Linked DNA regions of Caenorhabditis elegans. The protein of the gene in region 1 purifies or fractionates together with the protein of each later gene. This does not show direct contact. Each region holds a gene or a part of one and is shown on either strand. Other genes may lie near its edges.

Evidence for each region. The genes of interacting proteins can lie anywhere in the genome.
Region 2: the proteins of aly-3 (region 1) and ZK856.7 fractionate together in Caenorhabditis elegans (co-fractionation; one large-scale study listed by BioGRID). This does not show direct contact.

What each region holds. Positions count from the first base shown.
Region 1 is NC_003282.8:12,121,301-12,127,917, forward strand, and holds aly-3 (Chromatin target of PRMT1 protein C-terminal domain-containing protein), read left to right. Parts: upstream 1-1,981; 5' UTR 1,982-2,013; coding exon 2,014-2,221; intron 2,222-2,271; coding exon 2,272-2,391; intron 2,392-2,438; coding exon 2,439-2,530; exon of another isoform or gene 2,531-2,946; coding exon 2,947-3,073; intron 3,074-3,123; coding exon 3,124-3,299; 3' UTR 3,300-3,509; downstream 3,510-6,617. Other genes in the region: M18.6 (CULT domain-containing protein), read left to right, coding at 77-302, 353-578, 626-1,177, 1,227-1,467; dhhc-6 (Palmitoyltransferase), read left to right, coding at 3,652-3,774, 3,822-4,107, 4,289-4,597, 4,646-4,857, 4,961-5,326.
Region 2 is NC_003283.11:10,198,982-10,204,761, forward strand, and holds ZK856.7 (uncharacterized protein), read left to right. Parts: upstream 1-3,116; 5' UTR 3,117-3,117; coding exon 3,118-3,251; intron 3,252-3,297; coding exon 3,298-3,529; 3' UTR 3,530-3,572; downstream 3,573-5,780. Other genes in the region: nssp-61 (NGF domain-containing protein), read left to right, coding at 1-58, 112-226, 277-370, 670-732; chpf-1 (EF-hand domain-containing protein), read right to left, coding at 3,736-3,974, 4,020-4,244, 4,295-4,351, 4,429-4,495; ZK856.11 (putative RNA-binding protein EIF1AD), read right to left, coding at 4,987-5,110, 5,361-5,527, 5,573-5,770.

The sequences.
Region 1 (6,617 bases):
TGTTTTTTTTTTGTCAAAAAAAAACAATCCTGTTTTTATCCTATTTAATTTTGTTTTTAAAATGAGCGAAGAAGAAATGGAACTTATTCAAGACGAAGATGAATCAGAATCAGAAGATTTTTATGACGCAGAAGATGCGGAGCCACAAGCCATGGAAGGACTGAATGTTGACGTGACTCACAGATTCGATTATGCTCTTCAAGACAATGAAAATAGAGAAAATTATGAAAATGAAGCCAGACTCACAGATTATGGAACAAATTGGTTTCCGATTTGTGGAGTCAGTGCTGTTTGTTTTCCTGGTGAGTTACATTTAAAAAGAAAAACCTCCCGATTTCATATTAGTTTACAGGGCAACAACTCCCGATGAAATTCCACGATGATGAACGAGAAATCTATGAAAGACTTGTATCGAGTGCTCGAGCTAATGGATTTGTTGTACTGTTTCCATTGGATATTCCAGAATGCACATCACTCCCATATATTGCTACACTTTCTAGAGTTGTTCAAGCAAATTCTAACGCTCTGAGTATGGAGTTGATGGGCGTCTACAGATGTAAAGTTTTGAAGTATAATTTGTAAGTTTTACGAAACATAATTTCCTTCTAATTTCTTTCAAATTCAGAGGGCGTGGTGAAGCAGAAGTACAATTGCTACCAGACGTCGAACTTCCATCGTTACTTCCATCATTTATTCCGAAATATGCAATACATTTACCTGCTCACGAAAAACGTTCAATTGCAACCCGAATCAATGGATATCCATTCAATGCTATTCGAGATGTTACAGAAAGTGCTGTGAATGAATGCGTGGGACTACTTTCAGGAATGCTTGGAGATGACACTGTGAGACAAGCTAAAGATCGTGGCCTCACATACTTCAGCTATTTTGCTGCAAAGCATATTTTCTCTAATCGGCTAACTGAGTACAGTCTCTTGAAAGAAGATTCAGCGAACGGTCGTATAGTTGCTGCTCTGAAGTATTTCAAAGTATTTGTCGGGAGATGTTCTAGATGTCGCATTCCAATTTTCCGCAATGAACATATCATGAGGCTTCCAGATCAAACAATGACTCATGTTAATGCTCACGGATTTGTTCACAAAATTACCTTACTGTCAGAAATACGAAACTATGATCGAGCTACACCACCATCATATGAATTCACATGGTTTCCAGAGTCAGCTTATTCAAATACCTCTTTATCATTAAATTAGTCAGATTTTCAGGTACGCATGGATTATCATTCAGTGCTCCAGATGTCATGAACACCTTGGATGGGAATATATCAGCATGACTCGTGAACCACGACGCTTTTTCGGAATTCAACGAGAAGGAATTACGTTTCAAAACGAATTACAAGAAGGCGATACAGAGGAAAATTGGGATCATGTTCCAGAGTTTGACAACGATGATCAAGAAGAAGAAGATGATGCGATGAATTTTATACGGTTAATTCTGCGTCGATGAATACTGTATCCTATTTAGTTACTTTGCTAGATATACATCACTGGTCTCAAAATAATTTTCAAGAATGATTTTTCGTTGCCAATTGGCCTTAAGAAGTAATAAACTTTTTGTATGAGCCACTCGTTGTGTCGTTAGTTTTAAATACTTGTTTCCATCCTTTTTCTTACTTTGAATTATTATTTGAAAAACGTTAAAATTTCTCTACACTGATTTTAAGCTGTCAATTTGTTTGTTTCCCTAATTCTCTGCAAAAAAATGTGTTGAGAATTTTATTCAAATAAGAGGTAACGTATGCTGTTGACCGCGTTGCGTACGCGTCGCGGTCACCAAACGCAGCGTTTTTCTCAGTTTCCTCATTTGCTCATTCCTATCTTTTCATTCATTATTTCTCATTCCACTTTGGTCTCCGCTACATTTGCTCTTCCGAATAATTATAATTTTTTTCTTTGTTTTTTCCCGTGAACTTACTTTTGATCTTAAACCAAATGTTGTCGTTCTAATTCAATTGAAAAACGTTTCAGTTTCAACTCCAACAATCTTCGAAAAATGGTTAAGGCTACCAATGTCGATTTGTCTCTTGAGGACATCATCTCTAAAACCAGAAAGACAACTGGAAGCATTCAAAAGAAATCCTTCGGAGGAGCTCGACGAGGAAATACGAGACCCACTGGACTTCCACGCCGCTCCGGCGGAAGTGGTGGATGGAAAGACTTGGACGCGGTTCAGAATCATGGAATTTCAAGCAGAGGAAATGGTGGGTTTCAAATCAATATGTATCTTATTTTCTACTCATTTTGATTATAGATAGCAAGGTTATTAGAGTAAATATCTCTAATCTTGCCCCAACAGTCATTTCAAGCGATTTGGAGGAACTCTTCGGCGACTACAGACTCAGCTCAGTTTCGGTCAACTTCAACGAGCATGGTAAGCTTGATAATATATGCAACCGTATTGAACCAATTTATTTTCAGGTGATTCATTGGGTACTGGTGACATTTCGCTCACCAAACGTGATGCTGAGAGACTTGTTCAGAAGTTTAGCGGTGTCGCTCTAGATGGAAAGGTATTGCATTGGGATACAACAAATCGATAACAAAGACTTTGAAACAATCAATTGGGGCTGAATCCTGATTAAAGTGTGTGCTCCAGCGGACGCTCCTGAATGCGTTCTGTTCTTCTTCTACCAGTTCACAGAAATCTACTGTACGCAACAACAGACCCAGGCAATCAGAATCTCGTTGTTTCCTTTCAAAAAGAGACTTAATAAACCTGTGTTGAGGTTTTTTTGTTGAGTGTGGCCGTTCATTCGATGAAGCTCGTTGAAATTAGTTTTGACCCGTGTCGTGAGATGGATTGTGAGGGGAAAGCCGTTGCTGTCGACACGCATTAATTGATTGGCTCGAGACTTGGTTATTCAAGATTTCTCCGTTACCCAAATCCTGATCTCAGGTGACACAAAATGGAACATGAATATTTCAGATCATGAAATTCGCCGTCATTGATTCGAGCAACATGGCTGGGAGAGTCGATTTTGGAAACAGATCTCGTAGTTCACCGGGAAGATCATCTCGTGGATTCCAATCGGGTCCTCGCAGAAACAATGGCAGTACGTTTTAATGATTAAATTGTGTTCACCAGAATAATCTTTATTTTCAGAACCAGAAGATTTCCTCCGCGACGGAGTGCACGCCGGTGACATCAAGAGAGGCGGAGCTGGTCGAGGTGGATTCCGCAAGGGAGGCCGTGGTGGAGCTCGTGATGCAAAACCAAAGAAGACCGAAGCTGAACTCGACGCGGAGCTCGAAGCCTACATGGCGAAGCGAAATGCCTGAGCACTTTTTTTTTAAACTATAAATCACTTTTTGAACATTCTTGATATCTGCTATAATCTCTGATCCTTCTGTTGTTCTATCACATTAATAACTCGGAATATTTTACACAATCACCAATTTTTATATTTATCGTTCTACTACTTTCCTTTCTCGTGATCTTTTTGTCCACATTTTAAAAATTCGATAAAATAATAAACTGAGCGTCAATAATTTCTTATTGGATCAAGTATGAAGTCGATTTTCGATGGAAGAATATCGTTGTCAGTTATGTGGATTCACCCAGGTCGCCACAATTATGTTCGAAATTTGATTTAATTTTAAATATTTTATTATTGAAATTTAATCAATTCAGATGACGGGTGAGGTGGTGGAGACTCCGGATTGGCCTGCTCCAATTGCAGAAATTGGAGATAAGCCTGTATTTAGACGAATGTTCCATTTTGGAACCATTTTTGCATTCTCCACAATAACCATGGTATTTTTTATATAATTTTGATCATTATAAAATAATATTTGATTCAGATTGGAGCAGTAACAACATTTTTTGCTCTTCAGTGGATGCCTGTTACTTCATACATGGGACTTTTCAATACACTAACATTTTTATTGTGGAATTATTTAACAATAGGAAATCTCTTCAACGCTTCATTCTTCGGTCCAGGATATGTGCCACGTGGCTGGAGACCAGAGAATGCAGCCGACGAGAAGAAACTTCAATTTTGTGTTCCGTGCAACGGATTCAAAGTTCCAAGATCTCACCATTGCTCAAAATGTGATCGTTGTTGTATGAAAATGGATCATCATTGTCGTAAGTTTCTAGATTAGGCCGAGCTTCTTCAATAAATAATAGATAGAGTATCGTCGGGTTTTTTGCTCGAACAGACAGTAAAGATTCTCAATATATTTACCGAATATAGCTGGAATAAAATAATACAATTTTTTAAATTTTTATGATTTTGCAAAAATCTACAAATTATATTATATTTCAGCTTGGATCAACAATTGTGTCGGTCACCGAAACCATCAATATTTCCTTCGTTTCCTGTTCTTCTCAGTTGTTGGATGTATTCACTCGACTATCATTGATGGTTCAGCACTCTATCACGCAATCTTTGCTGGATGGTATCAGAAATATGGCGATGGAACGGAGCCTATAATCCTTCTTACACCAATTTCCTTCATTGCTCTCGTATTTGCAATCGCAATGGCCATTGCTGTTGCTCTGGCTCTCACTTTTCTATTCATAACTCAACTACGATATGTGATTCGAAACAGAAATGGAATTGAAGACTATATTCGTGAGCTGCTTCTGACAATTTTTTTAAAAATACCTACTGTGTTTTCAGATGGAAAGTCTCTGAACATGCGTAAAGTCCATGAAGGTGACGATGAAGAAGAAATTGAATGGATCAAGAGTCTGGGTGAATGGACGTATCCATATGATCTTGGTTGGAAGAGAAATCTTCGTGAAGTTTTTATTGGAATTTTTGACGGGAGGACAAGAGGAAATGGAACATGGTGGCCAGTTGTGAACGGATGCACGCAGTTTACGTTTACAGTAAGTTCAAGCTCATTAAATTATTTTTTTAGAATGAAAACATTGAAGTTTTTCATTTAAAAATTGAATTACAATAAAATCCGTTAAAAATGTTTATATTCAGATCGATCAACTGCTCCAGAAACAATCGAAGCGTGGTCGTTCGCGTATAATCACCATCAGCGAAGATTTTGCTGGGACCTGCTGCGCATCTCGTAAATTCGGCTGCAAAGTTTGGATGAAACAACCGATTATCGATGGAAAATGTCTCAAAGTTTCGGCTGGTGAAACAATCGTGGCAACACGTGGAATTGCTGGCTGGGTATATGGATTCCGAGAGTCGGATCCACGGAACAAAGGATGGTTCCCGCTTGAGATTTCTAATATGAAAAAGAAAAACGACACGAAACCGGATGAAACATCTACTAGTGAAGATGAGACATCCCAGGATACGGCTACTACTGAAGAAGAAGAAAAGAAGAATCAGTGATCAATTTATTATTTGTATTTTTATGTACTTGTTGAATATTCGTGTGTGATATTTATTGCCTTTCACCTCTCAAAAATCTAATTGCTCTAGATTCTGTCATTCCATGTTTTTATGTAGTGTTTTCTGATAACTACCACCAGACAATAAATTATTTTATCGATTTCCACCATCTCACAACGCCTTCTAATCATGTTCTTAACAGGTAATAGGATTTAGTCGGGAACCCTCTCAACAGAGAGTCGATCTATAACATTCTCGTTTGTCTCTCTCTGAATCGCTTTTTTCCGCTTCCCGTTATAATTTGCGTGTAAGTGAATACAGAAAAATCGGAGACGAAAAGAGGGTCTCCACGACTAGAATGCTCTCTCAGAATGCTCACCGCCTAATGATCTTGGAATCGGCGACGTAAAAGTGAATTATTGGCACGAGAGAGTATTCAGAGTAGGTGTAGTGGTGAGCTTTTTTTGGGAATTTATTTATTTCAAAAGTTCCCAATATTTATGTCATCCGACAGAAAATCTAAATTTTGATTTTTTTAAGTAAAAATTTTGTATAGCAAAACTGAGCTGTAAATCCATGCAACAACAAAAAACAAAAATGAATTTTATTCTACAGTAAGATATTTCTAGCGCTTCAAGACCCGCACCCCGAAAGGAGTGTGTCCCTTTAAGGTAATTGACAGTAGCACACAGGTTGTTTTATTTTGTTTTTCGATTTTCTCTGTTTTTCGATCAAATTCTGTGGTATTTTTATACGGTTTCTAGAAAAAAAAAACTATTTTCAAATATTTATCTACTCTGATTTCCTATTTTTCAAAAAAAAATGTTCAGTTTTTCCGATTTGTTGCGTTTTCCCGTTACATAAATTGATTTTTCTTTAAATTTAAAATTTGTTTTGCACAATTAGGTCAATGTTAGAGTTTCTACGATTTTCTAGCAAGTTGTCATGCTTTCATTGCGGAAAAATACCTCAAAATCTTACAAGCAAGAGTTTTTTTTCAAAATTGAAAAAAAACCTAAAATAATTTTAGAAAACTTTTATAATTTTTTTTGCAGTTAGATGTGGTAGCAGTTAGTGCAAGAACCCCTCGTAGTATTCTCCAATGACGAGATTTCAGAATTTCTTGGCAAAAATAGGGATTTTTAATTTTGAGAAACCTAATTTCACATGCCTAAATAAAGAAACAACCGTTTAGAACAATTGACATCATAGAGCAAAACAATAATCAAAAAACGACGCTCTTGATGACTCAGAAACAGAAACTGTCGGAAAAATTCTTACAGTCGGAAAA
Region 2 (5,780 bases), on another chromosome or scaffold:
ACCGAAGAAGTTTGCAAAACGAAAATACGACAACATCATCGGCCGCAGTATGGACATAGTGAGTTGGAAGCATTCTAGTGCAAGAATCAAGAAATCAATTTAATTTTTTAGTCGCAAACGGAAGTAGAGTCGAGATTCAACAAGACGAAGAAAGCTCATTGGAGGCTACATTTGTTGAGTGTCTAGGAGAAAACCGACCACCATGCCACGGTGTTGATCATGATTTGTAAATTGTGGATCACTTAAGAAAAACTAAAAATATTAGCACATTTACAGATTCATTTCCGAATGTGTAACGGTATATGAACATAGGCCCGCAAATGTTAGAGTTGTCAAATCAGGTGGACCATACTTCCCAGCAACTATTCGAGTAAGTGGTTTAGAAATAAAAGCATTAGAATTTTCAAGTTTTGATTTAATAGCTCTTGACCAAAAGTCAGTAATTCAATGAACAGCATAAATGTTTAGTTGTTTATCTAGGTTTTGTGTTTTGAATTCAATTATCGGATTTCTGATTTATTCGGAATTTTTCAACTTTACTCGTAAAAGTACACGTTAACTTCTTCACAAATTTTACATATTTTAAAAATAAAAATTCTGCTGAAATTGGTAGTTGCCGAGGTAATTTTAAACAGGAAGTGACACTGTGATCTCATTTATTATATTCAGGTTCCAATTCTCTGTGAATGCAGACTTCGTCGTCAATTCAAAGATTTCGAAAAAAGGAAATAACTTCGTGAAACTGTTCTCTAGTTAGCTAATAGCCCATCTGTTCAAATGCTCACAGGCTTCAACTGTGCCAAAATCTCTTAAAATCTCCGTATCATTTGATCTTCCTCCACCATTCTTACCTGATCTACCAATACTAGCCAGCTCCTCGATCTCTTTTTTCTTTTGGTGCCATAGCTATTTTTTTTGTTCTTTGTCATATTTTCCATATTTTTTGAATTTCAAGCATCATGTTGCAGTTTTAATTATGTTTCCTAATGTTTATACATAAGCATTATTTCGTGTATCCATTTTATTACCTGCATTTATTTTGTCTTCAGTTGTATTCTCTAAATTATTTATTTGTGTTTGATCAATTCATTTATGCAGAAAACGAAGAACTGCGAGATGAAGCAGAGTCTATAAAAGGTTTTCTATTCATTTGATATCCTTCGAAAAAACAGAATGACAAATTCATTAGCATGCAGTTAAAAATAAAGAGGAAATGAGTTGAATGGCAATGGAACTCCATTATAATCTTTTTGCACCACAACTTGAAATCAATGGGACAATCTAAATCCCGATAAATAGAAATAATTGTAAACCAAAAATATACACCGTTTATTTACAATGATGATGTAAAAATTATGTCACAATAATAGTAGTTTAATCGGAAAAAAACACATTATTCGTATTTGAATCAGCCCACAAATATTCGTGCGGAGTTTCAAGACCAGTTCGTTGAAACTTGAATTTGAATAATCGGATGCTGGATCGTGACTCAATAATTTAGAATGACGTCAGATTCTATGGCAACTAATTTACTTTGTAGATTAGTCATGTACAGATCCCCGAAAATTTGGTTTTAAGACCTGAAATAAGATCTTCAGTTCATTCGATTTATTTTCAAAACATTGTTGAAATCAGGACCAAGGAAGTAAATGAATAAAACTAGATATTTATTAGATAACCGTCGGAGGATCAGAATTCTGATCAACACTTTTGGCACAACAGTATTTCAAAGTGAAGAGCTCATTTCTCTCTTTTGTACCCTTTCCTGAAGTTAAATTATCATCTTCAGACAAAATATCATTCTTCCATTACTGTTTTCATAAGACAATTAAATTTTTTATACTGGCATAAAATTTTTGTCTAACTCTCAAAAACTAGTCTATCTCTCTACTGTAACCGAACAACAACAAAACACCAAAAGATTAGAAAAACTAGAGTCACACACGTGGTGTACTTTATTTTTGTGATTTTTGTGACAACAATAAGAGAACATATACCAGTTTTCAATATTCGGCTTCATGGAATACTGTAACGCGTTAACCTTTAAATTGTGAAATCTGATTAAACATGGAAGATTGTGTTGAATATGAAATTTGGAAAAGAAATACTCGGGAACAGTATTTAAAAGTTCAAAATATACATAAAATGATCGTTTAGGTTCGAGCCTACATCGTCGAATATCGTATTAAATTACTTATGTTTTTATTGGTAAATTGCCAAATTCTAGAAATTTCTAGCATGTTCGAGCCCATGTTCAGATGCTTAGATATAATTAATAGAAATACAAATCGACTAGAACAATCGTAAAAAATTGTTTTATTTTGAAGTTTTTCTATGTCGTAATATTAACTTTTAATGACAGTTCATTTTCTTTCAGTCGCGGGGTGCTCATTCTTTTGCATTGTTAAATTGATAAAATACTTAAAATGTCGATACAACATGTAGGTGCTAAGATGTGTGCATGCGATGCATGAGTAGCTTCCCGAAGATCACCTAGTCCAACTATGCCTTCTTTACTAGCCCAAATGTTAATTGACATCGTGTGAACGTAGTGTTAGGATGTCACCAGTTACGCATGCCTACGTCTGTAGGCTCTTGTGCTCCTACATGGTATACTTAGTATGAATACAGATATCAGTGCCGATCCTTGAAAATGTGAGAATGTGGTCGTCAAAACAAAATTCACAAATGACACACCAATTGCTTTTTCGTTTAGTCGGTGTTTGTTTGAAAACAAAACTGATTCAATGCTTCATTCATTTGTCTTCTTCTTTTTGATTTACTTTATCGTTGTTTTGTGTAACAACACCAAGGCTCTCAAGGACAGCCCGTATCGATCGCAATTCGGCCGCTGTGGCAGACTACCCATTCACCACTGCGACCGATAGACCGACTACTACCTGTTTATACCCAATTATTCGTTCTCATGTTTCTTTTTATCCTTTTTACTGTTGAATTACCAACAGTTGAACAATCAAAATATTTTCTATAATAACAAAATTTCTCTTCCTCCATTCTTTGTACCTTTCCAATGTATTTCTTTTGTGAGAACACCAACGTTGCTGATATTTTGCCATATCAATAGAACCATTGTAGTCTACAGTATACTTTTTTAGAATGCGTGTCGCAGTTATTCTTCTGTTCTTTTTATCTGTCGCTCTCGCATGTGACATCATTGTTCATTTGAAATCGGACACAGACAAGAAATTCAGCGGACAAATTGTTGCCAGCAATGGAAAGAAATCTGAAAGGTTTGTTCGGAGGACATCAATAGAAAAATTATGTTTTCTTTTTCAGATGGAGCTATTTGAAGAAGCTTCAGAAGAACACCTTCCAACAGAAAGCCGATGAATGTGGACTCAAGGATTGGGAGATTACTACTTGGGATGATGCTGGAAAGCCAGTTGCTACCGTAAAAGTCACTTTGGATGGAATTGGAAGAGTCACTTACAAGGTTGGAGATGATTTGAAGGCAGTTCAAAAGGATCGTCAAGGAGCCATCTGCAAGGGACAATGTGCTCCTTTGTAAATGTTTGAAAACTATTAATCAATGATAAAACTGATAAAACATTCATTTTTCTTTGTCAATTTTGATTTCACACGAAAATTGATAAACAACTTCTGAGATAGTTTGTGTCTTCAAGGCAAAATGGTGAGAAGTGACAAAAATTATGTACAGGTAAGAGAAAATGGCAAACTGAAAACGAGACTAGCAGGGGAATTTCTTGTAAAAGCTTAGTTTAGGAATCGAATCGACATCTTCTCCTCAATATCAGTTTTTTCCATTGCTCGACAAAACTCATCAAAAGAAATTTTTCCATCACGATCTGCATCAGCTTCCTCAATCGTTCGATCAGCAATCTTGTCGAGTTGATCAGAAGTTATATTGGCACCAACCATACTGTTCAGAATGACTTTGAATTCTTCACGTGTGATGTAGTCGTTTTTATTTAAATCGTACATTTTGAACGCAACTGAAATAAAATTAAATAATTAAAAACTTGAAAGAATAATCTTACAAAGCAATTTGTCTTTTCTCGAGTTGAGAGCATTTTTCTTTACTCTTGAAATCGGTTGAAAGTGTGCAAGAATTCGAACAAATTGACGAAAGTTCAACTGTTGCTCTTCGTTGTCACCGTTTGAAGAAGCTAATGTGAAAAAGGCATCTACGATTCGATCACCAAGAGGATTCACAGCCAACTCGGGAACATTCAAAAAATCGTCTCGTGAAAGAAATCCCTGTCCTGAAATGTTTTTTTATTATTTTTATGATAAAAAGAAATACGCAACAAACCTTTTTTATCAAGTGATAAAAATCGGCTGTAGAGTCGGACAATTTGATTTCTGTTAACTGAAAGTAACATTGATCATCTAATTTTCACCAAGTTAAGAACATTAAAAATAATTGTATTTATTATCTAAACTCACATTCTGTTTCACTCATTATTTCCTCAATCTCCTCATCTCGTAACATTAAAGAACTGCTGTTTCCCATTTCGTAACACTGAAAATTCAGTTCTATCAGTTTTGAGAGAAAAGTTTCTGAAGAATGGAAACCAAGAAGTGAGCGTGTGAAGTTACACCCACGAATGAACAGTTTTGCATAATCTGGCAAAGAAATAGTCAGAATTCTTCAAAAACTGTAAACAAATAACCGAACAAAACAACAAAACATTTCTGGTCTACAGAGATGATTTTGGAGATAATACAGGCAGGTACTATTGAGATATGGCGTAGTATCGATTAGCCACAATCTATTGAAAACATGGATAACGAGAGAAGAGAGAACTATCGATTTTCAAAGCAACTGTCTTATCTTTATGAAATGGACGCGATCATGCCACGGAGAGGCAGCAGGCGCATAAACAGGAAAGTAAAGGCGGTTGGAAGTGAAAGAACATGATAACAAAAATAACAGTAATGTAACAAAAACACGGGAAACGCCAATTTAAAGTGGGTAGGGAAAGCAACTTGAAAACTGCTTATTCATTTCGAAGGTGCCTGCATTCGGTTTGGATTATACGTGTCGAATTCTTCTTCCTCTTCGTCATCAACGTCATCTTCATCGTATGTCTCCTCCCCTTCTGATTCGTCCTCTTCTTCGCTTTCACTGAAATAACGATATTATTCTTCAAGAAAATAAAATTTTCGTGAGGCGAGTGACGTCATTATTGTATTTTTGATGATTATAAAATGTACCTAGTGCGTTCCCGTATATTGTTCTTTCGCATCTCCTCATATAATTCGTAGCTAGTTTGTAATAACGACTGTCGTAATGAAGCGTATACATTACAACAGAAAGGATTGACCGATCAAATAGATCATGGAATTAAATGACCTGTATTGCAAAAAAATCGTACCTTGGTGGAAGCATGTCGTCATCGATCATTTTATCCGATGTTTGACCACGCTTAGCTTCTCGAGTCATTTTTAGAGCGTTTTCTTCGAAACAAGTAGGCCATTTGCCGAGTTCGCGAATGTATAAAACATTGTCCTGATCCAAAATGTACTCGATTTCTCCTTTCACCTTAAAACCACATAAAATACTTTTCGTTAATATTTTTTGTCTTACTTTGTCTCCTTCTGTGATTGGCCGAACAACGACAAACTGATCACGCCGAAGCCATACTGATTTTCTAAACTTTGTGGGCATCGATACAACATAGCTGTCACCATTTTGATCGAGAACTTCATGCAAATTGTTACCACGCGATTGTCGGACTTGTGCAATTATGTCTTCATCAACAAGCTCGTAAAACTCGCTTCCAACCTGAAACAAA